Diceros bicornis minor: one gene and its partner. The protein of the gene in region 1 interacts with the protein of each later gene in a biochemical or structural test. Links are inferred from orthologs where the notes say so. Each region holds a gene or a part of one and is shown on either strand. Other genes may lie near its edges. The genes, in order: CACYBP and S100A6.

The links.
Region 2: the proteins of CACYBP (region 1) and S100A6 are reported together in a solved structure, tested with the Homo sapiens proteins (2 studies listed by BioGRID and IntAct, with this or other methods). The link is inferred for Diceros bicornis minor from reciprocal best matches to the Homo sapiens genes CACYBP and S100A6.

The regions. Positions count from the first base shown.
Region 1 is NC_080743.1:91,511,993-91,523,973, forward strand, and holds the start of CACYBP (calcyclin-binding protein), read right to left. Parts: upstream 4,649-11,981; 5' UTR 4,503-4,648; coding exon 4,482-4,502; intron 3,637-4,481; exon of another isoform or gene 3,588-3,636; intron 153-3,587; coding exon 1-152. UniProt on the Homo sapiens protein: May be involved in calcium-dependent ubiquitination and subsequent proteasomal degradation of target proteins. Probably serves as a molecular bridge in ubiquitin E3 complexes. Participates in the ubiquitin-mediated degradation of beta-catenin (CTNNB1).
Region 2 is NC_080743.1:57,774,227-57,784,663, forward strand, and holds S100A6 (protein S100-A6), read right to left. Parts: upstream 4,235-10,437; 5' UTR 4,143-4,234; intron 3,516-4,142; 5' UTR 3,495-3,515; coding exon 3,357-3,494; intron 2,999-3,356; coding exon 2,864-2,998; 3' UTR 2,764-2,863; downstream 1-2,763. Other genes in the region: S100A5 (protein S100-A5), read right to left, coding at 5,412-5,555, 7,315-7,452. UniProt on the Homo sapiens protein: May function as calcium sensor and modulator, contributing to cellular calcium signaling.

The DNA of each region.
Region 1 (11,981 bases):
TCAAGAAGTTCTGCTTTCCTCGGTGATTTCTGCTGCATCTTGTTTTTGATTTCTGTCTCAATCTTGGATTTTTCAGCTGTAAGGGCATCACGTACCCTTTTTCTAGTGGCTTTTTCCAGTAGCACCTTCACCTCTTCTAGATCTTTCTGTAGCTGTATTAAAATAAAAGATAAGTTAGCTATGATAAAGAAGGTAATAGTTTGATATTGTACCTACTGCTTATTTCAATTTACTGAAATAAGAGCTAAGAATTAAGAGGTTCATTTAAATTTTCTAGAGTTGGGTTATACCTTGGATTCTTTCCTCCAGCCTACTGAATTGTAAATAACTCAAGCTTCCTTTTTTTTCTTTTTTCTTTTTTTTTTCTTGTGAGGAGGATCAGCCCTCGAGCTAACATCCGTGCTAATCCTCCTCTTTTTTTTGCTGAGGAAGACCGGCTCTGAGCTAACATCTATTGCCAATCCTCCTTTTTTTTTTCCCCCACAAAGCCCCAGTAGATAGTTGTAGGTCATAGCTGCACATCCTTCTAGTTGCTGTATGTGGGACGCGGCCTCAGCATGGCCGGAGAAGCAGTGCGTCGGTGCACGCCCGGGATCCAAACCCAGGCCGCCAGCAGCGGAGCGTGAGCACTTAACCGCTAAGCCACGGGGCCGGCCCCTCCTTTTTTTTTTTTCTTAAAGGAAAACTTAATCTTGAAGTAACAGTACGTAATCAAACCTAAATTTTCCAGTTTAGTAGACTGTTATCTGCCTTTGTTTTAGAACATTTTATTTACAAGATACTTTTGTGATTTATAAACTAGAATAAAGAAATCTTAAAAAAAACAAAAAAGAGTTCATGAATTTCCTTGTAACATCAAGTCCTAGTCATCAGGTATTGGGAGTTTTTAAAATATTAAAATAAAAAAGATGCGTGACTACATGACGAGTGTGGGGAAATGCCACGGCAACTCGCCTGAGGTAACCCTCCACCTGCTGTCAGTGACTGGTCCTCACTGATCTTCCTACCCAGAGATTACACACAAAAAGTTCGAATTTTTTAAGACAAGATGAAAAAAATAAAGACATATTCCTGCTTTCAAAAAATCTTGTTTTTGAAGGTTCAGGTTCATCTTCCAGTCAGAAGTCCGGGACGTGGTTGCACAATGGAGGGAAAAACCTGGGCAAACACTCCGATATGCGATACCCTCCTGGATCACTGAAAACGCACCTGCCCTTTTCTTCTCATACCAATACATGGCCTCCCAAAATTTGTTTCTATTTTCTAGCAATAGAGCCAACATTTTATGAAGTTCAAGAGTTAGAGAGACTGTGAGAAAATTAATGGTCTTAAAAATGTTTTCCCAGTTATCCTGTCATACTGCAAAATGCATAAGATCTTTATAAACAAGGTATTCCTTTTTCTTAAAATAACTTTACATTCTGGCTTGATACTAGCAATCTGACAGGAAGACTCTTACATCACAGCCTGAGATCACACGAAAGGCTCAATATAAAAATCTTCAAATGCTTGATAACTCAGTATAATATCCTAAACACTGAGTTTGAAAGTCTTTGTTTCTTTTTTTTTTGTTTTTAACAATTTATTTATTTATTTATTTTCCCCCCAAAGCCCCAGTAGATAGTTGTATGTCATAGCTGCACATCCTTCTAGTTGCTGTATGTGGGACGCGGCCTCAGCATGGCTGGAGAAGCGGTGCCTCAGTGCACGCCCGGGATCCGAACCCGGGCCGCCAGCAGTGGATCTCGAGCACTTAACCGCTAAGCCACGGGGCCGGGCCTTTGTTTCTTAATAGTCTTATAAAATGCAGTAACAGAAAAACGAATGCTTTTCTTTTACCCAAGCCTTATATTATCTCATTTAACTGAGATGCCCTGTTTCACCTGTCTGCAACTGATAACATAGTACAGAATCCAACTGGGCCCAGTCTACTGTCCATACTCTACGCCCTCCCCCAAAATCATATTACTAAGACGAAAATAATTACAAACTCATCTTTTGAGCATAGAACCAAGATGCTTTAGTTCAAAGCAATCTTTTTTATTATAATGGTTTTAAAAAATTCACATTGATTCTAATACCAACATGATAAAAGTAATGAAATGTAAAATGAGTATACCTGTTCCTAGAGTTAAAAAAAGAAAAGAAAGGAAAATGTATCAAGTCTAAACAAGGCGTTTTACTTCTTGACTAGAACAGGAATCCTTTCTGTTGGAGATTCAGAAAAGAACTCAGAATGAAGCACGAGATTCCCAGGCCCCCTTTCTGGCCAGTTTTGGCTCTGAAGTAGTACACCAGCGAGGTCTTACAGCAGGCCTGGTTCAGGTAACTCCTCTGTTCTGTTACTGGCAGACCTGAAACCAGTAAGAGCGATCCCTCTGGTGCTTTTCCTGCACACACACTTTAAGAGCTCTTAGCTACAGCAGTTTCTCATCTAACTGATCTTGGCATTCATCTGTTTTCCTTATGCAAACTGCATTTCCCTTTCCACAAACATTCAAGCTTTATCGTCTAATCTATTTACAAATTCTTCACTAGAAGGCATTAAAACCAAAGTGCTCTGAAATGGGCAAAGGTCTTAGACATTTCTCCAAAGATACATACAATGGCCAGCAAGCACATGAAAAGATACTCAACATTAGTAGTCATTAAGGAAATGTACATCAAAACCACAGTGAGCTACCACTTCACACTCACCAGGATGGCTAACGTCAACAACAAAATACAAAATCCCAGAAAATAATAAGTGTTGACAAGCATGTGCAGAAATTGGAACCTTCATACATTGCTTGTAGAAATGTAAAATGGTGCAGCCATCTGGAAAAGAGTTTATCAGTTTCTGAGAGTTAGTTATCATATGCCCCTGCAATTCGACTCCTAGGTATAAACCTTAGAGAACTGAAAACATAACATTCACGTAAAAAGTCCTACACAAGTATTCCTGGCAGCATTGTTCATAATAACCAAAAAGTGGAAAGAATCCAAATGCCCATCAATGATGAATGGATAAACAAAATGTGCTAAATCCATACGATGGAATATTATTCAGCCATAAAAAGGAATACATGCCACACCATGGATGAACTTGAAAACATTATGCTAAGTGAAAGAAGGCAAAAAGCAAAGGCCACATATTCTAAGACTCCATATATACGAAGTGCCCAGAATAGGCAAACCCATAGAGACAGAATGTAGATTAGTGCTTGCTGGGGCGGGGGGAAGGGAAATGGGGAGTGACTGCTTAATGGACACTTAGGTTTCTTTTGGGGGTAATGAAATATTCTGTAGTTAGTGATGGTTGTGCAACACTATGAATATACTAAAAAGCACTAAATTGTACACTTTAAAATGGTTACAGTGAATTTTATCTAAAACACTCCCCCCCCAAGTGTCCCTAACTGTATATTTTTAAGTACCTCAATTGAGAAAGTCCCTTACTTGGAAGAAGATTAACACTGAGCTCCCCATAGGTATGACTGTCAAGTCACTTCAGAGATTCTTCCTCGGGGCCCATGGTAACCCAAGTCCTGTCTCTATCACAACAAACTCGTGGAAGTTATTCAGAATAATACTAAACACATACACACCTTTTCTTCATTTTAGGCAGCTTCTTAGATTTATTTGAGATTTCTCAGGCTTGTTCATATTGAGGAAAAAATTTCCAGAAAACAAATCCAGTTAATACACACCCAACACTTCACTGTGAATAAGTGTTAGGTATTGACAGGCTACTCAGGCCAGGAAGAGCGACGCAAGAATCATTATTCCCATTTTGTACCCGCGCAAACTACGTCTGCAAACAAGTTAAGCTGCCCCTGTTCAGAGTTCATCGAGCTTAAAAGAGAAAAAGACTATTTCCTACCGCTAGTTACAACTTTCCAATGTATTTACTTTTAAAAACGCATATAGCAGACTGCTCTGCGCCCAGCACTGTTTTCAACATTTACAACAAGCACTCCGTCCTTCTCACCCTCGGAAACGGATACTCCTGCGGCACGGCGCAGCACCGTCACCTGCCCAAAGTCACAGAGCTGGTCGTCCGTGTAGAGAAGACACGAGGAGAATCCAAGTGCTGGGACCCAAGACTGCTCACCTTCCCAGGGCTTCCCAGCACGCAACGACACCCAGGTTTGGCCATCAGCTTTAATTTAACGAGGCCCTCCGTCCTCGGGCCCGTATAACGGGAGCGGAAGGGCCCGAGGAAAACGCGACGGTGACCGGCGCGCTCCAGGCCACCAGCGGCACCGCCGGCGCCGAGGCTCACGACACACCCCCGTTCCCCACCCTCCGGAGGGCCCGCTGAGCGCGGGCCGGGGCCGAGCGGCGATTTTCCCGGGAAGCGGAGGCCCGCGGGGCCGGGCGGCACCACGCGCCGCTGCAGGTGCGCGAGCGAAGCGCGGGGACCCCCGGGGCAGCTCAGCACGGGCGGGGGCGCTGAGAGCCGCAGCAGGGCCGGGAGGAAGGCGAGGCCGGCCCCTTACCTCCTCCGGAGCTGAAGCCATGGCCGGGCTGGGTCACGCGAGGCCGGGGCTGCAGACGCACCAGGGAGAGCAGGAAACGCCGCCCCGAGCGCGCTCCGCCGAGCGCAGACCGCGGGCACGAGTCGCAGGGCTCGCAGCCTGTGCGCACACCCGACCCTGCGCGAGACCGCGGCCCGCCTCCCGCACGCGGCGCCTCTGGAACCTTCGCGAGCCCGTCGCCGCGCTTCCCCGCCCCCCGAGCGCCGCCCGCTGAGCTCAGCCCCGCCCAGCCGAGCCTGGCCCGCTCCGCCCGCCGAACCTCGTAGCAACGCTCAACTCTCGCGAGCAAACTGACAGTTCGAGAAGAGTAACGCCTCTTCCTCTCCGCCCCGGGAACTGAACGTTTAATACTTTGACCCCGTTTGCCCCGGCTGCGCAGTCGCAGCTCGGAACCACTGCCTTCCGTACCTTAACCCCACCCCGGAAGTAACGTACCGATCTTCGGGGTCCAAATCGGAAGTTGCCTAGAGAGGCGGCTGCTTCCGTCCCCTCTAGGACACCGGGCCAACGAGGCAGGCATTTTTGTCTGGGGGTAGTCTGTGAGCCTTTGCGAGGAAAGGACGAAATAAGGGGGAGCATGGGCAGCCTATTTATTTTAAAACGGGAACGAACGAGGACGTTAAGTGTGGGGGCTCCTTTGGTTTTTCAGTGGGTTCTGGCGCTCTGGAGACATCACCACGATTTAGCATCTGCGACGTGGCGGCGTCATCAAGGGCTGCGCTGGGAGGTGGGGTTGAGTTCGCTACGTGACCGGACCCCATGTCGCAGCCGAGGGTTAAGGTTTCCCGTACGAGGCGCCTCGCCCTCCGACGGTTATTGTGCTTCCGCCTTTCCCTCGTGACTGTCGAAGCCCCTCCCTGGTGCCTTCGCCCTCTTGACCAACTGTTCTGCGAGTCTCTGGTTCTCACCCGGGTTTGGATTCGTTTTAAGTGAGCCTGTTAGCATCAGAGAAAATGTGGGTTGAGTTTTCCCGGGCCTGCATTCTGCCCCCCTTCTGGTTCCAGCAGCCCCGCTTAGTAAGGCCCCTGAGAAACCCACTTTTCGGACCATTTTAGCCTTTTGCAGCCTCATGATTTCTGCAACATGGTTGAGAACATAAACAGTAATCTCTGAGAAGTCAGATAGCCTGCACTCAGCTTTATGTGTCACGCAAGATAGCGAGTAGGATCAGCAAGTCAGAGAAGGAAAAAGGCTACTAGGAAAATGCAGACTGACCGTTATCGTAGTAAAGAGGAATCAGAAGTACAGTACGAAAATAGTCAAATTACAGCCACACACAACGTGCCTGAATCTCACAAACATGACGTTCAAGGAAAGAAGCCAGACATAGAAAAGTACATATCGTTTGGTTCCATTTAAATGAAGTCTAAAAACAGTAAAACTAGCCTAGAGTGTTAAAAATCAGGATAGTCCTTCCTGGGGTGGGGAGGACCATGATAGAAAGGAGCCGCGAGGGAGCTTTTGAGGTTCAGATAATGTTCTGTTTCTTGAGTTGGATGCTGGTTACAGGTGTGTTCACTTTGTAGAAATTTCATTGTGCTGTAAACTTACATTTGTGTAGTTCCTTTTGTATGTTATGCTTAACTACAAGTTATTTAAGTAGGCCCAGGAGGGAATTTTCCCGAGATGATAGAAATGTTACACACACATACAGTTGTCAAAATTCATAGAATGAACTCCTAAGATCTGTGCTTTTATTGTATATTATATGTCAGTTTTTTAAAAAATGTCCACCGGAAAGCTTGGAATTATTTAGGTACTTAATAGGAACAAATATCCCATTGCACTGTGTGAAAGCTTGACCTAATGCAGTGATTTTGAAATTTGCTTGATTATGCACCTGGGGCAACTCCTCCCCCCACATATCCTAAAGTCATGAGATATGAAATACTGTTTATTATCCAGTGACTCCTGAATCTATATCTTCAGCTCCACTATGCTTCTGAGCTCCAGACTTGGCTTCTGCTTGGATGTAGAATGAGGAAATTCAGCTTGTCTAAAAAACAAAAAAAACTCCTCCTCCCAATTTTTCATCCTCGCACCCCAAATCAGTTCCTCCAATTCTTCTCCAGCTCTGTGCCTAGTCAGCTCGTGCTCGTTAACTGCTCATGCCAAGGAGTCATAAGTCTCAGTCTCAGGTCCTACCTCCCATCGTATAGCAAGTCTTGCTGGCTTTACCTTCAAAATATGTCTAGAAATCAAACCACTTCTCACAAGCTCCCCTGCTACCACCCAAGACCAAGCCAAACGTTGTATTCGCCTCATTAGTTAACGAGGGAACCAATAAGATGTTAAAACTGTTATCAAAGTGCCTTTGCAAAGCTGGGTACTTACAGACAATTTAACAATGGAATGTTAGTGTAAGGTTGTGAAGTTAGATACAAACTGGTTAATGTCCTACAGGGTAATAAACTACATATGACCTCTGGAGTTACCTCTTCCACTGGAAAGTAGAAATCTGCATCCCTCCTGTACCAACATCTGGAGGTTACCATGTAACTTCACTAAGTGTAGGACCTTGAATCAATAGTGAGCAGTGAGTTCCACTTCCTGTTCATGTCAAGACCACTCATGACCTCATAACTGCCAAATTCAGTAGATATTTTCTGAATAATTTGACTCCTTTACTTTTTACATAAAATTTCTCCTTTAGAATATCACATGGGCCAAAACAAGCTGTCTGTGGTCAGGGTTTGGGCCACCAACTGTAATTTTAGAATATCTGATTAATATTTTTTAAATATATGCTGAATTCTAAGAGGAGCTGACTAATCTCTTAGCTCTTACTTAGGTTTCATTCACTCTCAGAAAATGGAAATTAGAACAAAATGTGAATCAGGATTCTCTGTGCCCTGCCTCCGGCTCCATGAAGCCTCTGGAGTGCTGTCTGATTCTATGCTGTCACTGTGCTGTACCCTGAAAGACTAGCAGCAGACACCTAATGCAGGATTAGCCAATCAGATTTGTGCAAGGTTTTGGAATTGGGCCCCTGAGATGCTAGTCCATCTCTGCTGATCACTTTTAGAGAGGATACGTAAACTTGGAAGTTGTACACTCAGAAGCAGGGAAAACTTGTTTTGAGAGAGAGAAGCAGCAGCAGATAAGCATCACCTGGCCAGACAAGCAGACGAGCAATTAAGAGAAGAGTTGCTTGGGCTCCTGATGGCATTCCAGTCCCCTGTCCAGTGCCTCTTCAGGAACAAGTGTTTGGTCGTTAGTATCTGTGAGATAAATATCCCTATTTCCTTTTAATTAATTGCCTTATTATTATTAAGCTAGCTTGAGAGAGTTTCTGTTACTTGCAACCAGGGAATCTCTGTCGAGAGGCAACTAGTGCACTTTCCAGTGCTGATGTACAGGGTATCATTTTGCAGGGAATAGCCTGGAGCAAACACCTGTCTATTTTTTTCTTTCCAAGTTGACTAGAGTCTAGTATCAGATAAGAAGTGTTACATAAACACTGGGCTCAGATGATTCAGAATAAAATCAACTAGAAAAAAATCAGAGAGACATATATGGACTTCAGAACAAATGTTTATTACTGCTTAATGGGGCCTTTCAAAAGGGCAACACAAAGCACTGAAAACATCACTGGCTCACAAAAACAGCCACCTTGTTACCTTCTTGGTTGTATTTGTTTATTTCACAAGGCTTCATTCACACATGAAAACAAGATACTAATTCAATTCAAGTTCATACCAATTATAAAAGTAAACATTTGTTGGGACAATGTACAATAAATTGCACTTTTCTTAACAAGCATTACATTTACATTTACAGAGTGTACTATACATAATACATGGAATTATGAAAACATCTAATTGGTCAATGTTTATAGAGGAGAGATGCTGCTGTTTCTTTTGTAGTCAATTAGCGAAGTTTGGGCTAATCAACTCCTTTATTCTAGAACCTGTTTTCATTAGAGAGGCTGTGGACAAAATCATAGAATTCATAAAAATAGGTGGCACAGAATTTCTACTACCTCCTCAGGCAGGGAAAGGTAGGAGTTGAAGAAAAGGAAGTGGGGCTGACTGAGAAACTTTTTCCCTCATTTGAACTAAGGATCCATACATTATGCAAAATACCAAAAATAGAGAAACTGATACAAAAGGCTATTGGGACATCTTGGATTCTGGGACCATCTCCAGCTTTATTCTTGTGCTTTCATGACACCAGAGTCTTGATGCATTTATATCCTTATAATTCAGTTTCCTATAGTTTATTCCATATATAATATATAGTTATTAAAAGTTACATTTTAATGGAAAAGATTTTACATGTTAACTTATTGCCAATGCAAAAGGAAAGTAACCTAAAATGTCCTAAAATGTTCTACTCAATGATTCTTTTTTCTTAGATTAAAGTTTTCAAAGTACCACTAATGCTGAACCAGGGATGGAGGTGGGAGAATGGGACATGTTGATGAAGATGTTTTTATAGCGGGTAGCAAACTCATTTGGAGATAACCTTGACAGGTAGTCTTTTAGACGGAAGCTGAGAAGGCACCACCTAACAGCTGACTGTAGTCACTAAGCTACTCGTAAACATCCACTTTTCTCATTACAACTCAAGATCGTCATCTCCTATTGAGGTGCAGCCCACACTTAAAGGATTCATTTGGGTAACTTTTGAAAGATAAGGAAATTCCTAAGGTAAAGGGCTTTGCATCTATTGTATGGAAGCCACTGTGAGAGAGGAAGGATGTTTTGGAGCAGTTCTAATTCAATGTGATCATAAGCATGGCAACTAGAGGAAAGAGAGTTTTATATCTGGTAGTTGGAAACAGGCCACCATGCTGTTGTCTGGCCTTCTGCATATGATCGCTGTGTGTGTATTCAGTTGCATGGTACCTGGGTATACAAAAGAGGCAAGGATCCTCTGTATAAAAGTCTATCAATCACACACACACACACACACACACACACACACACACACCCAATAGTGTTCAAATCAAACAACAGAGTTTTTCCATTCTCTCTTTTACTTGAAATTGAAGCAAAAAAATCAGGGCTATTTTATAGTGTGTTTTTTTTTAAGACTAAGTTATACAATAGAGTCATCTTGCTAAGTAATTCAAAGTGTTCTTTCCCAAAGAGAGAAAACAAACAAGATATTTAATTTTTTTAAAAAGTTCCTTTCCCTTAAAGGGGTCCTGAAATCAGACAAAAACTTTAGCAGAAGAGTAGACTGATTTCAGCTAAAGAAAAAGAAAACTCAATCCCTTACATTAGTTACATATGTGATTCTCATCCTCAGTAACTAATCAACTCCTTTAAGAATCTGACTCATCTCTTGTGCCCTAAACTGTGTATTCTCTTGTTTTTCTCACTTTTGCTAGGAAATGAAGCCACTAGTTAACTGGAAAATATTTTAGGAAAATGGAGTAGGGGTTTGAGAAAAACAAATATTAATACATAGTATAAAAGAATGAAAAATTTGAAAAAAAAAGATACAAGATAAATGCTATTAAACTTCCCAACATCAGTGCAAAGATTGGTTTTCTACTTTACTATGGAAATTTAAGAAAGCCATGAAAATTACTAACTTAATAGCTGGGAGAGGCGAAGAAAGAGATTGGTTGTACGGAAAGATAGGCCATAGGCCTATGTGACATTCCTGTTAGTGTTTCTGATAGGCATTCATACACAGAACATTAGGTAACTGAGAATTCTTTGCATTAAATGATATGTAACTAAATATAACCAAATTGTCATGGCTCAGGATGTGGGAAGCTAGCAAACATATGCACTGCAAAATTCAGCCTGGTTTCTTTCAGCTTTAAAGAACGTGTTAAACAAGATTCTCAAGATATAAAAGCTAATGAACTGAATTATCAAATTGAATTTCATTCCCTTAATTTATTCTGCAGAATTTAATGAAAAGAGAAATCATCCCTTTTCAGAATGTTGCAAATGTTGGATTTTTGGAGGAATGTTTTATACAACATATCCTAGGAAAAGATGGAAAACACTGTAGAATATTTGAAAATTTCCTGGATATTTGGGCTTGTTGATCTCTTTCTAAAATAAATCAAGAGAAAAAGCAGTTCTCAAATACATTTCGCAATAAGTGAAATTAAAACTAGCAGTTAATGCTGGGATGCACGAATTTTCAAAACACACGGTGAAGGACATGTGGTTTGGGATAGAGCTCTTATAACATATTGTATAAATAATCATATCATATACCAAGTTTTGAATTTCCTTTCTATCTTTTACTATTGCTACTGACCCAAAGGCATTACAGTGAGGGACAGTTTAGATTTATGGTACCAATACACACACCCAACAATGATATGGAACTGGAGAAGAAAAAAAAAAATCTATAGATTGCCATTATAATCTTTTGAGAATTAAAAGAAAATGCAGAAGACATATTTATTAAATATTTGGAATGTATGTACCTGGTGATTTTGTTTAAAGAAAAAAAATGTAAGAGGCTATGAAATTGAGCCAGGTATACAGGTAAGGACTGAGCTGAGAGCCATTCTATTTCTCCCTCAACTACCATTTATGGAAAATTATGCAACTTAGGCATTCTGTGGAATGTGCTGATTTTTGAAAGTTAAAAAGAGCTCTGTACAGAACTATGAGATTCACAAAACACAAAAGAACATCTTTAATTTAGCTGGCCATTTGATAAGGCAACTTGTACAAGGCTTCTTGGAATCAAAGCATAAAGTACCAGTAAAGCTAACAAATTATACTAAATGATTTCTAGAAACAAGTACCAAGATGCAATTTTCTAGCGATTATATTTTACAGAAAAAAAAAAAGATTAGTTTTTCTAAACTACCATGGAGGGAATGTTCAAGTCAACATAGACACTTGGAATGCTGGGTTATTTTCCTTTTTGGTCAAAGGAAATGACTGTTATGATGAAAGATGTCAGGACAAAAAAAAAAAAATAATAAAGAATTATGTAAGAAAAGTATTATTTGATGAGTGTAACAAAGGATAACAAACAACCCTATCAGTTTTATGGGTTATAGATGATGTAAACACTGATGAAGGGGACTTCTCATTTTAGGAAATATTAATCATTTTAGAGGAAAGGATCCACCATGAGCAACTTGTAGTGCATGCTCCTGGAGCTGAGATGGCTCTTATTTGATTTTTACTTCCAACAGTGTGTCACTTTTAATTGCAACATATGGCACAGATGAGAACACTCTGGCACTACAGAGTTTAAGATCCTTTGCAAAGAATATGTTCCACAATGAAGCCAAGGATGAGTATCAACGAATGTTATTGTACATAGCTGACAGTAGTTTGGTGGCATAAAAGGACCACAGGCCTCCAAAATAGGTTAGAAAATGGGAAAATCAGTCTTGCCCTTACCAAAGGATTTTCTGCAAGTACTGTTTATATAGATATGTTAAATATAATTGAAAAAAATATTTCCATCAACTTTTAAACAATAGCTTTACCTTTCCATGAGATAAGTATTTCTATAAAGGTT
Region 2 (10,437 bases), about 34 Mb from region 1:
CCTGATCCAAACCCGGGAACCGGGGGCCGTCAAACCGGAGTGCGTGAATTTAACCGCTAAGCCACCTGGCCCGCCCCGTTTTTGTTTTATTTTTTACATCCATGTTCCTGTTCCCCTCGCTGCTGTGGAGAAACAGAAGCTGAAAGACACACCTGTTTACTTAGCAGGTGGACTGAGAACGTTTGTTGATCCTCTTCAACATCCTGGCCTGCGCACCCACCAGAGCTCCCGGGAAGCGTTGGGTTGACTGCCTTGCCTGAGCAGCCCCTCCCAGCGGCAGCCGATCTTCACCCACTGAAACGACTCCTCCTCCCTCTTTTGTACCAAGGTCTTCTCGCCCCTGAAGGTGGGGGAGGGGAGAGGCAGGGTTCAGATTCTATTTGTCTTTGCAAACCCCTTCCCTTCATTGACTTGCTCACGGTAGGTGTGTCTTAGATGAAGTTGAGTTCGTTTTTGGGGGGTTGATTGCTCAGAGCCAAAAGGTCCCCCTGCTGACATTCCCTGGGCATCCAAGTCCTGTCTCCCTCTTCAGAGGAAGGGCTCCCTGATGGCCAGGGCTCTGGTACCACCACCGTTGGCTTCTTCCCTGGGATTCGAGAAAACCAACCCAGACTCTCCCCACAGCTTCCTGCTCTCTGCCCACACACCGGCTCACTCCACACCCCAAACTGCCGGCCACTGCAGGCCGGGAAGGTACATTTCCCGCAGGAGTTGAATGGAGCCAAGGCTTGGACATGGCTGTGCAGGCCGGGAGCTTAGGCCCTGGGTCCCTTCCTGCTTCACGACAGTGCCAGTTCCTATGCCCTGTGGGGCAGGGGAGGCAACTAGAGAAGGAGGAACTCCAAAGGTGATGCTTCCAGCCCCCTGGGGACTGTTCAGTCATCCCCACCCCATGGAGGAAGAAGATGACTTAATTCCGCACAGTTGGGCCCTCAGGGAAGAGAGGAGGTGAGTAAGAGGGGAAAGAGGATATGATCTCCCTCTGAGGTCCCTACAGAAGAACCTGCCTGGCTCAGACTAGGCCTGGAGGGGAGAGAACTGGGACAGATGCCCCATCACCCTGAGACACAGTTTACCCCCTTGCCGCCCACCCTCCCTGTCTGAAAACATTAATGCAAACAATGGACTCAGACAATAATTCAGACAATTAGTCATCTTCCCGAATGGGGACTGAGAGCCAGTCTTGGCTCTAATGGGATAACTGGGGTGATTCATTCTGCTAAGGATGCAGGGATGGGCTGGTTCAATATTGACTGAAAGGCTTGAAGCTGTGGTGGGCCCAGCCCCAGAGACCCCCACCCGGCCCCATTCATGAGCACCCCATGATTCATGTGTTCGTGCAGCTGCCAGCTCTTCAGACCACATCCCTCAACGCAAAGGACCCTGTCCCTGAATGCAGGGACAGACTCCTAAAGCGTGCCTCCTGCCTTCGACTGGGGCCCAGGCAGCACAGTGAACCAGCCACACAGCATCCTCGGTGGTCTCAGACAGAATGCTCCCCCCCAGGCTTTGGGCATGCCGGCTGTGCCCTCTCTGCCCACACTTCACTGTGATGAGAAAGTGGACCAGCCTCGCCCCATGGCCCTTCCATCCTTCCCCTCCCATCACACCCAAAGTTAAAACATGTCTTCATCTTCAGGAACCCCCCTAGGACTATCTCCGCCCCACTCTGGACCCATCACAGCCTGGCTCAGGCACGATTTTCTTCTCCAAGTCCATCCCAGAACCCTCTCTACCGGGGACCACTCGAGCCTTCCCTTAAGACGACTTTGTCCGGAGGGGCCATCTTTTCTAAGGCACCTTATGAGCCAGCAGAGGCCTTGTCAGGGTGAGTCCACCATCGTGTGGACCCTCTGTGAGGAGAAAAACAACTTTGTTTTCCAGAGATGCTGCCTCAGCATTTCACAGTAGGATAACCCTGCTCACATCTTTTAGATAAGGACTTGAGCTTAGGATTCCTGCCGTAAGTTCTTGCTTTACTTTTCCCAGAGCACCTTTTTTTTTTTTTTTGGTGAGGAAGATTGGCCCTGAGCTAACATCTGTGCCCATCTTCCTCTATTTTGTATAAGAGATGCCACCACAGCATGGCTTGATGAGCAATGTGTAAATCTGGGCCCAGGATCCAAACCTGTGGACCCGGGCCGCTGAAGCAGAGCGCGCGAACTTAACCACTACACCACCGGCCCAGCCCCCAGAGCACCTTTTAAAATAACCACTTAGAGTGAAGCCCTCAAAAAGTTAGTGACCTCTGCCCCATTATTCACGTTATACGTAATAGGTGCTTGCTACCCTGCTCTCTATCTCAGGCTGGCTTGTGACCTGGGACAGAGGACTGCCCTTCCCCCGGCTCATGGCACCCCCTCGCTTCTGGCATCTGTAAGTAGTAGTAGACTCCACTTCCTTTGTGTAGATGTATTGAAACTGTGCCTTCAATCAAAACGACCCCTGTGGGTTTCACCTCCCCAAAGTGAGACTTAGGATGCTGAGGGAGCTACCTGCTGCTCCCTTGTGGGTGGCTTGTGCCTCCTCAGTCAGCAGATCATAATCTGCATATTCTTAAATCAATACACCAGCTCTAGCTTCTCAACACACTCCCCACGGCTCCCCACCCCGCACCACACACCCCACCCCCCCGCACCCCCCACCCCGGCCTGGTGAGTCGCTGAGTCACTCCCAGAGGTGACTGTGAACAAACCCTGGTGCAGGGTGGTGCTAGTGCAAGAAGGAGAAAACAGAAATCACCGGGAAGCCAGGACACAGGCGTAGATTTGACCAAAAGAAAATATTTATTGTACAATTAACAACCACTGGATTTGACTCAGACAGGCCCTCGAGAGTGTGTCTCCACCTTCCCAATTTATTTTCAGCCCTTAAGGACTTCATTGTATATCATCGCCAAAGCCCCCAGGAAGGTGACATATTCCTGGAAGTTCACCACCTGGTCCTTGTTCTGGTCCAGGTCGTCCAACAGCTTTGCAACTTCCGCGTCCTGCAGCTCCTAATGCGTTAGAATGGGAAATCCAGACTGAGTGGTGATGAGAACCCTGGGTCCTCTCCCTTCCCCCTCCCAGGCAGCCCTCTCTCAGACAAGTGGCCCTGTGCTCACTTGCCCACCTTGGGTTCACTTGGCTTCACTTCCCCTCTGCTCCTGCTCCTTGCTCAGGGGGAGTGAATACCAGGCTGAGAGTATCCCCCACCCCCTCAAGGGAGTGGACCAATGGGCTCAGTGAGGCATGTGGAGAAGGGCCCCAGAAGTTAGATAAATGTGAGTCAGATGCCCCTGGCACGTCCCCCTCTCCTAATCCTGCTTCTGCAGGGCCAGAGGAGGGAAGAAGGGCTTGGGGAGGCTCACTCACAGGGCCAATGGTGAGCTCCTTCTGGATCAGCTCCTTCAGCTCACTCTTGCTCAGGGTGTTCTTGTCACCATCCCTGCTGGAGTACTTGTGGAAGATGGCGACGAGGAGGCTAATGGCCTGATCCAGGGGGCACGCCATGGCTGAGGGCTGGACTCAGAGCTGGGGGCAGAGGGGCTCGTCAGTGCCCTGGGCAGCAGGGCCTTCTCACTCACCCAACCCCCAAGAGTTCTGTCCCCCACTCCCCCCACTCCCTTTGAGTACCCTGCCTGAACCACCCAGCCTCAGGCACATACAGGTGGCCTCAGGAGATAGCCCAGGGCTTGAAGGGGAGGGAGAGGACAGACTCTAGGTTCGAGATCAGCAGCTCGAGGGGGGGCCAGAGGAGATAAGGATTCTAAAGAGCAAACAGGGCCACAGCTGAGAACCCCAGGGGTTCCAGAAGAAGTTGGGGAGCATAGGCAGCATGGGGGGCGGGGAGGTAGGGGCAGCACACCCAGCCCTACACACACAGCCTCACAAGGCCACACTGCGGCGCTGACAGTCCCAGGACACACCCTCCCGCACCCCAGAAGAGCGCGGGGAGCCGCCCCACCGCATGCCTAGCCCGGGGCCAGCCCGCCGCTTCTGACCCTCCCCGCCGGCCCAGGAGCTCCACAGACGGCCGCACTCGGGATCCGGGCGCCGGTCCCGCCCGCGGAGTCCGCAACGGCCCGACTGGGGCGGCGGGCGGCTAGACTTAGGCCAGACTAGGCCGAGGACGCCGGCGCTGCGCCGGCGAGAACTCACCGCGGGGCTGCAAGGAAGCGTGAAGGGAGCGGTCCGCGGTGACGAACTCTGTAGCCGGCCCGGCCGCCTTATAGCGGCCGTGCGTCCACCCAACCCGCCCAGGGCCCGCCCCGCGCCCCACCCCGCGCCCGTGATTTACACAACACACACACCCCCGGCCCCTCTCAACTTTCCACGCCTCCTGCCGCGGGGGCTGTTCCACATTCCAGGGGGTGGGGGGCCCTAGCGGAGACCACTGCAAGCCCAGTGACCTGGAGCTCCCCTTAATCTCCATAGCTCGGTTTGCCCACCATCGTGACACGTGACACGGCGTGGGGAGAAGGTAGACGGCTAGAGCGGCTGGGGAGAAGGGGGGTTATTGGGGGGGTGGGAATGGAGAAGGGTGCCCCCAGAGGGTGTTCAGGGTCAACCCTAGATGAAGGAGGGGAGCAGCCAGTGGTCTACAGGATATGATTTAAAGGACATCTAGGACACCCATCGCCCAGCAAAAATAAATTCCTACCACCACCCCCTCTCCCTTCCCCCCCTGCCTGGAATTCCACCCGGAGCCTCTTGCCCACTAATGTGCACACACACCTGAGCCAAGCCCTGTTAGCATCATTCATTATTTACCCTCTAATGAAAAGGTTTTTCAGGTCCTCTCCTGAGAAAGGATTCTGATAGGGAGAGGTGGGGAGAGCAAAAATCACTGGACCCCAGAGATGACTGGGGTGGGTTGGGGCGGGGTGGAGGAGACGGAAGGGAGACTGGCCTGTAACCAAACGCCAGACTTCCCCTTCATACCAGTGGTGCATGTGACCTTCTGTAAGCCGGTGACAAGTCAGACTGGCTTGTCCACACTGCCCTCAGTGTCCTCTCTCTCAAAGCACTTTCCCCCTTAGCTTTCTCTGCATCTTTGCAACATTCCTGGGAGGCAAGCAAAAGCTTGGCCCAATCTCCCCGTTTTCCAGAATGGCAAAACTAAGCCTAGGTAAGCTTAGTGATGTCCACACTGAAGGACATGAAGTGGAGTGAAAGCCCAGGACCCTAACACCCAGAGGCTCTCAACCCACTCAAGGAGAAGCTCTGCCTTGCCCCACCCTACCTCTCAGTCAAGGTGGACAAGACGTCTTCAAAACCAGCCTCCAGACACCTGGAATGGAAAATCTTTATTTCCTCTGCTGGAAGGGAAGGCTGAAGCAGGTTCCATCTGGGAGGGAGAGGAGGGCAAGGGGCCACAGAGGGTCTGTGAGAGGAGCCGCAGAGGCTGGGGCAAGGAGCTGAGCCCGGTCATTCGTTGTCCTCCAGGAAGAAGTCATTATAGGCCATGCACAGTGTGGTCAGGAACACTGAATACTCCTTGAAGTCGATTTCCTGGTCACTGTTTTTGTCCAGGCTCTTCATCAGGTCATCAATGCTGCTCTCCTTCATCTTCTTCGAGGCCCCAGGTAGAGGGACAGGTCAGCCACCCCTCCTGGCCCTGCCCCACCACCGCATGGTGCCACCCGTCCCCTGGGAAGGCAGTCTCAGGGTGGTCCCCAGCTGAATCAGCAACACTCTGAGCATCTCGACCCCCTGAGTCTGCCCTCAGCCCATGCCCAGCACAGAGCCTGGCACCAAGCACAGGCTCAGCGACCTGATTCTGAATGTAAATAAATTACAACAGGAAGGCTAGTCCAGCCTCCCTTCCTCTCAACACTTTGCACCATCCAAAGAAATAATAATCTAGATTTTATACAACACCTAACAGCCACGGGTTGGTGGTTATGTGGCACTAAGCATGACCCACATCTCCGACTCCTTCTGTCCCTGTAGGGGAGAGTTGAGAACTGACCCAGACAACATGTCTCTCTAGGAGAGCAGTGTCCTGGAGCTGAGAAGCCACTGTGTCCTCCCTCACTAGGAGAGCTCACAGGACAGGGGAATGGAAAGGAGTGCCTGGCACCCAGTCTTACTCGCCATCTGGTCCCCTGCCCTCCCAGCCCAGCTCCACCAGGAGGATGGGGACAGGGCCTTCTGGTGGAACAGGAAGAAAATACAGACACGTCCTGCCCTCCCCTCTTCAGGGCCCTCAGCTCCAGCTTTTCCACAGGAGACAGGACATTGGGACATACAGAGATGGAAACAGCCTCTCTGTGACGTGATCTTTGTCCCCAGTCTGGGCTCCTATTATAGCCAGGCCGTCCCCGGGGCCTCTGTTCCCCTGTAATTAACCCCTGCCAGCCCATGGCTCCTCCTTCTGCCCTCATTAACTCCAGGATGAAGAGAGCCTGGCAGGAAGGCCAGAGGGCAAGCCTGGTGACACCCACGCCTGCTTCTCCCCTGCCCACAGGGGCAACTCAAGGGAGCTTCTCTGTGGGGAGGCCCACCAGAGTTCAGGATATGACAGAAGAGGTCCCCCCCATGCTGAATTTTAAAGGAAAAAGGGAAGGTGAACGCAGGCCTGGCCTGGGATTCCAGCTCAGCCTGGCAGTAGCTGGTATCTTTGGACAAGTTATATAATGTATCTAAGCCTCGATTGTTTTTTAATTGTAAAAGTAATATCATGACTACTTCATAGGCCTTCCCCTCTGTCGGTCACCTCCCTCCCACCATCTCCATCTGGTAAGAATCAATTCGGTCTCCTTCCAACCTTGTGCTCACGAACTAGCAGAACGATCCTTTTTGTTCTGTGTCAGCACCAGCTGAGAGCCCTGGATGTGCTAGGCACACGGAGGGGAATCAGGTGGGGGCCCTGCCCTTGAGCTGTGCACAGCTTGACCTGGACCACCTGGGTCCCCTCATCCCCCACGATCCCTCACACAGGTTCCGCCATGGCTGCACAGGCCTAGCCTCAACATAGAAGCTTCCTTGATCTCCTTCTCTAAACTCTCACCCAGCCTGTAGTCCACCCTCCAGACGCCACCCTTCCTCCTTGCAGTGAAACCTGACTCACCCCCAGCACAGAGGTCTAGAGCTCTGTTGGCCCAAGATGCTCACCCTCTTCCTTCGGTCTCTGTACCTTTTGGCCAACCTGCTCCTGGCTGAGATTATGGCACATTGAGGGCAGGTGTGTGTCACCTCACGCTGGATGTCTATGGAGGCAGAGCTGGGCCTCCCACCTCACACTAGGGAGCCCCTGTCCATGGTGTTCTACCCTCCATGGTACCCACAGGGAGCACTTGGACTTTGGAAGGGGGGGACAGTCACCTACCTCACCAAGACACAGCTCCTTCTTGATCAGCTCCTTTAGTTCCTTCCTACTAAGTGTCAGTTTGCTGCCCTCTCTCCCAGAATATTTGTGGAAAGTGGTTACCATAGTGGTCAGGGCCTTCTCAAGAGGAGTCTCCATCACGGTATGTGGCTCTGAAGGGTGAAGTGAAAGGAAACAATCGCATGGCCCAGCAAAGACAGACCTTCTCCTCCCCCCATCACTAGCCCACCTCCAAGCCCTTCCCTCAAGGACCAGAGACTGGAACCCATAACAAGACCAAAATCCACCAACGAGTGGACTCAAATGTGTCAGCATGGGTTGGAATGAGACTCAAGGCAAACTTGGAACAGCCAGAGCAGTGAGACTGACCAGCCCCGCAGGAGACTGCACACTCTCCTGCTTAGGAGACATTGAAAAAGGGGTCTAGGGGCAGAGGGATGATAGGATGACCTCCCCAAAAGAAGAACTGGTGGCGGATGTGGAGCAGATAAAGGGTAAGGATTTCTCCCTGCCCCATCCAGCTTGGGCATTCGTTTTCCAGAGACAGTCCTCACCATAGTCACCCTCCTTGGCCCGGGTGCCTGAATCATCTGATATTGGGAAGTGTCCCATTATAGAAGTAGGGGACAGGGCACAGGGAGAGTCCAGGGGTGGGAGGGGGCTGGGGCTAGAACTGGGAGATAGGGTCTCGACAGGAAACTGGGGAGAAGTGATTGGACTTGTCCAGCTGGTCTTCAGTCTCCAGCCCAGAGAACTGCACATTCAGACTGGCCACAAGGCAGCAAGTAGGGTGGGCCTGTTGAAATCTCCAGGATCATTCTGAGAGCTGGATCTAGAGGTTGGGTTTGAATGGAGCCCTCCAGGCCATCAGCACAGCTGCACCCACGGAAGGGAAGAAGCAGCTGGAGCTCCTGTGACTCAGACTTGAAAACCACTTCCCCCTTAGGAAGGAAAGAGGCAACACCCAGGGGACTTGGGGGCTGCAGGTAAATCTCTGTAGAGTCTTGGGCAAGGAGGAAGAAGCTGCTGGCTCTTCCCTTCAGCCAAAAGCCCACCTCACAATTCTCGAACTGGACTTGTCATTCATCTCCCACCACCCACAAACCTCGGCTTCTCCCCATCTCCAGGAGGCTCAGCCAGGACCACAGTTGAAGGCAAGCACCTCTAGGTAGCTGCAGGAGCATCCTGGCTGGTTCTGATGCCCACCTCCACCCCCAGATCCACTTCTCAGGAAATTTTGATAGCCACAATTCCAAATACTTGCCCTCTCCTCCCTGAGCACATGCCTGTTCATCAGACTAGGCCTTCCTTGGTGGAGGTCACCACATCTTGTCACCCTCTGGTCTCATCACCCAGCTTGCCCCACCGTATAGATGAGCAGGGAGATCAGAAGGACGGACTCACCAAGGAAAGAGTAAGCCGGAGAACCACGCAGCGGAAACAGGCTCCCTCCCACTGCTCTCTGTCTTTGTTCCATTGCTCCTGTCCCCAGGAAACCAGGGCAGGGAAAGGGCCAATGAGAAGGGGCCAGGGACTTGAGGAGGCCCAAGTCAGAGCCTCTTGGGATGCAGCTGGGGAGAAACCCCCTCCACCAATCTCACCTTCCTTGTTTCCAAATGCAAGGATGGGGGCACACTGAGTTCACCATGGCACACACGTCTTCGGTCCCAGAAACTTTGTCTTCCCAACCAAAAATCAGAGCTCACAGTATGAGTGAGGAGGAGAGCGCAGGCTAGAGAAGGAGACTGTAGGCTGTCCTGGAAGAAGACCCAGGAAGTGTGGGCCAAATGCAGGGTAGCTCCCCATGCCCTGGGCCGCTCTCCACACTGGAGCCCTCCCACTCACAGCAGGAGCGGAGCACACACACCTCGAGATGAGAATCAATGGGGGAAGACGTTTCCTGCCAAGGGCGTGGTCAGGGTCATTAGCTAGAATGGAGCCTAAGGTTTTTGTTTTTTTTTTTGAGGAAGATCAGCCCTGAGCTAACATAAATGCCAATCCTCCTCTTTTTGCTGAGGAAGACCGGCCCTGAGCTAACATCTATTGCCAATCCTCCTCCTTTTTTTCCTTTTTTCTCCCCAAAGCCCCAGTAGATAGTTGTATGTCATAGTTGCACATTCTTCTAGTTGCCGTATGTGGGACGCTGCCTCAGCATGGCAGGACAAGCGGTGTGTTGGTGCAGAGCCGGGATCCAAACCCTGGTCGCCAGTAGCGGAGCACATGCACTTAACCACTAAGCCACGGGGCCGACCCCGGAGCCTAAGGGTTTTAAAGGGCTTTTAAATGAGCAATTTTTTCTAAATCTCACTCATCTTCATGGGAGACAATTGTCAGAGACTCTTGAAATAGAGGAGTGAGAATTAGGGATTGGAGAGGGGATCCAGGGAAGGGTAGGGCTGGTGATGGGGTAGAGGTTGTGGATTGCAGGGAGCAGGTCCAGGGTGCAGTGATGAATGGGGTAGGGTCAGGGAGAGTTGCCTGTATCCCAGGAGAGACTCAGACTTTGTTCTACCACCAACCAGTCCACGTATGAGAGCTGAAGCAAGTTAGAGGCTTAGCATCTATCACTGCTGCAACCCTGCCTTGCCTGCCTGGGTCCTCCCCCTAGCCTCCATTCCACTCCCACCAGCAGTTGGCAAGGCTAGAGAGGCAGCAGGGACTGGTCACTAAGCAACAGGAGTTTCCAAAGTAGAGAGTGATGCAGGAGGAGGCTCAGGGGAGGGCACTCCCATGGAAGATGGGCAGAGTAGGGCGCTGGGGGGCGGGGAGGCAAACTTTTTCCTGGACCAAAATTCTACCCAAGTCTCTGCAGTCACACTCTGGAGGAACATCTGAGTCACCCACCCCACTCCTCTGAAACTAGAGAAAAACACAATGTGATGAAAAGAAAAGGGGAATGCTTGAAAGTTCAGGGGGACAAAACCCTCCCTGCCTCTGGACCTGCCCTCTACTCACCTCCTTCTTAAAGGTCCCCATATCACCCAGGCATGGCCTGGAAGTCTAACCTCAATCCCACCCACTGCACGCTGGAGCCACTGGCGTTTAAGGGAAAGCAACATCATATCTGGTATTTTCTGGGGGGGAAAAAGTCTGAATTTCATTTATCAGTTCATATGTCTGGAA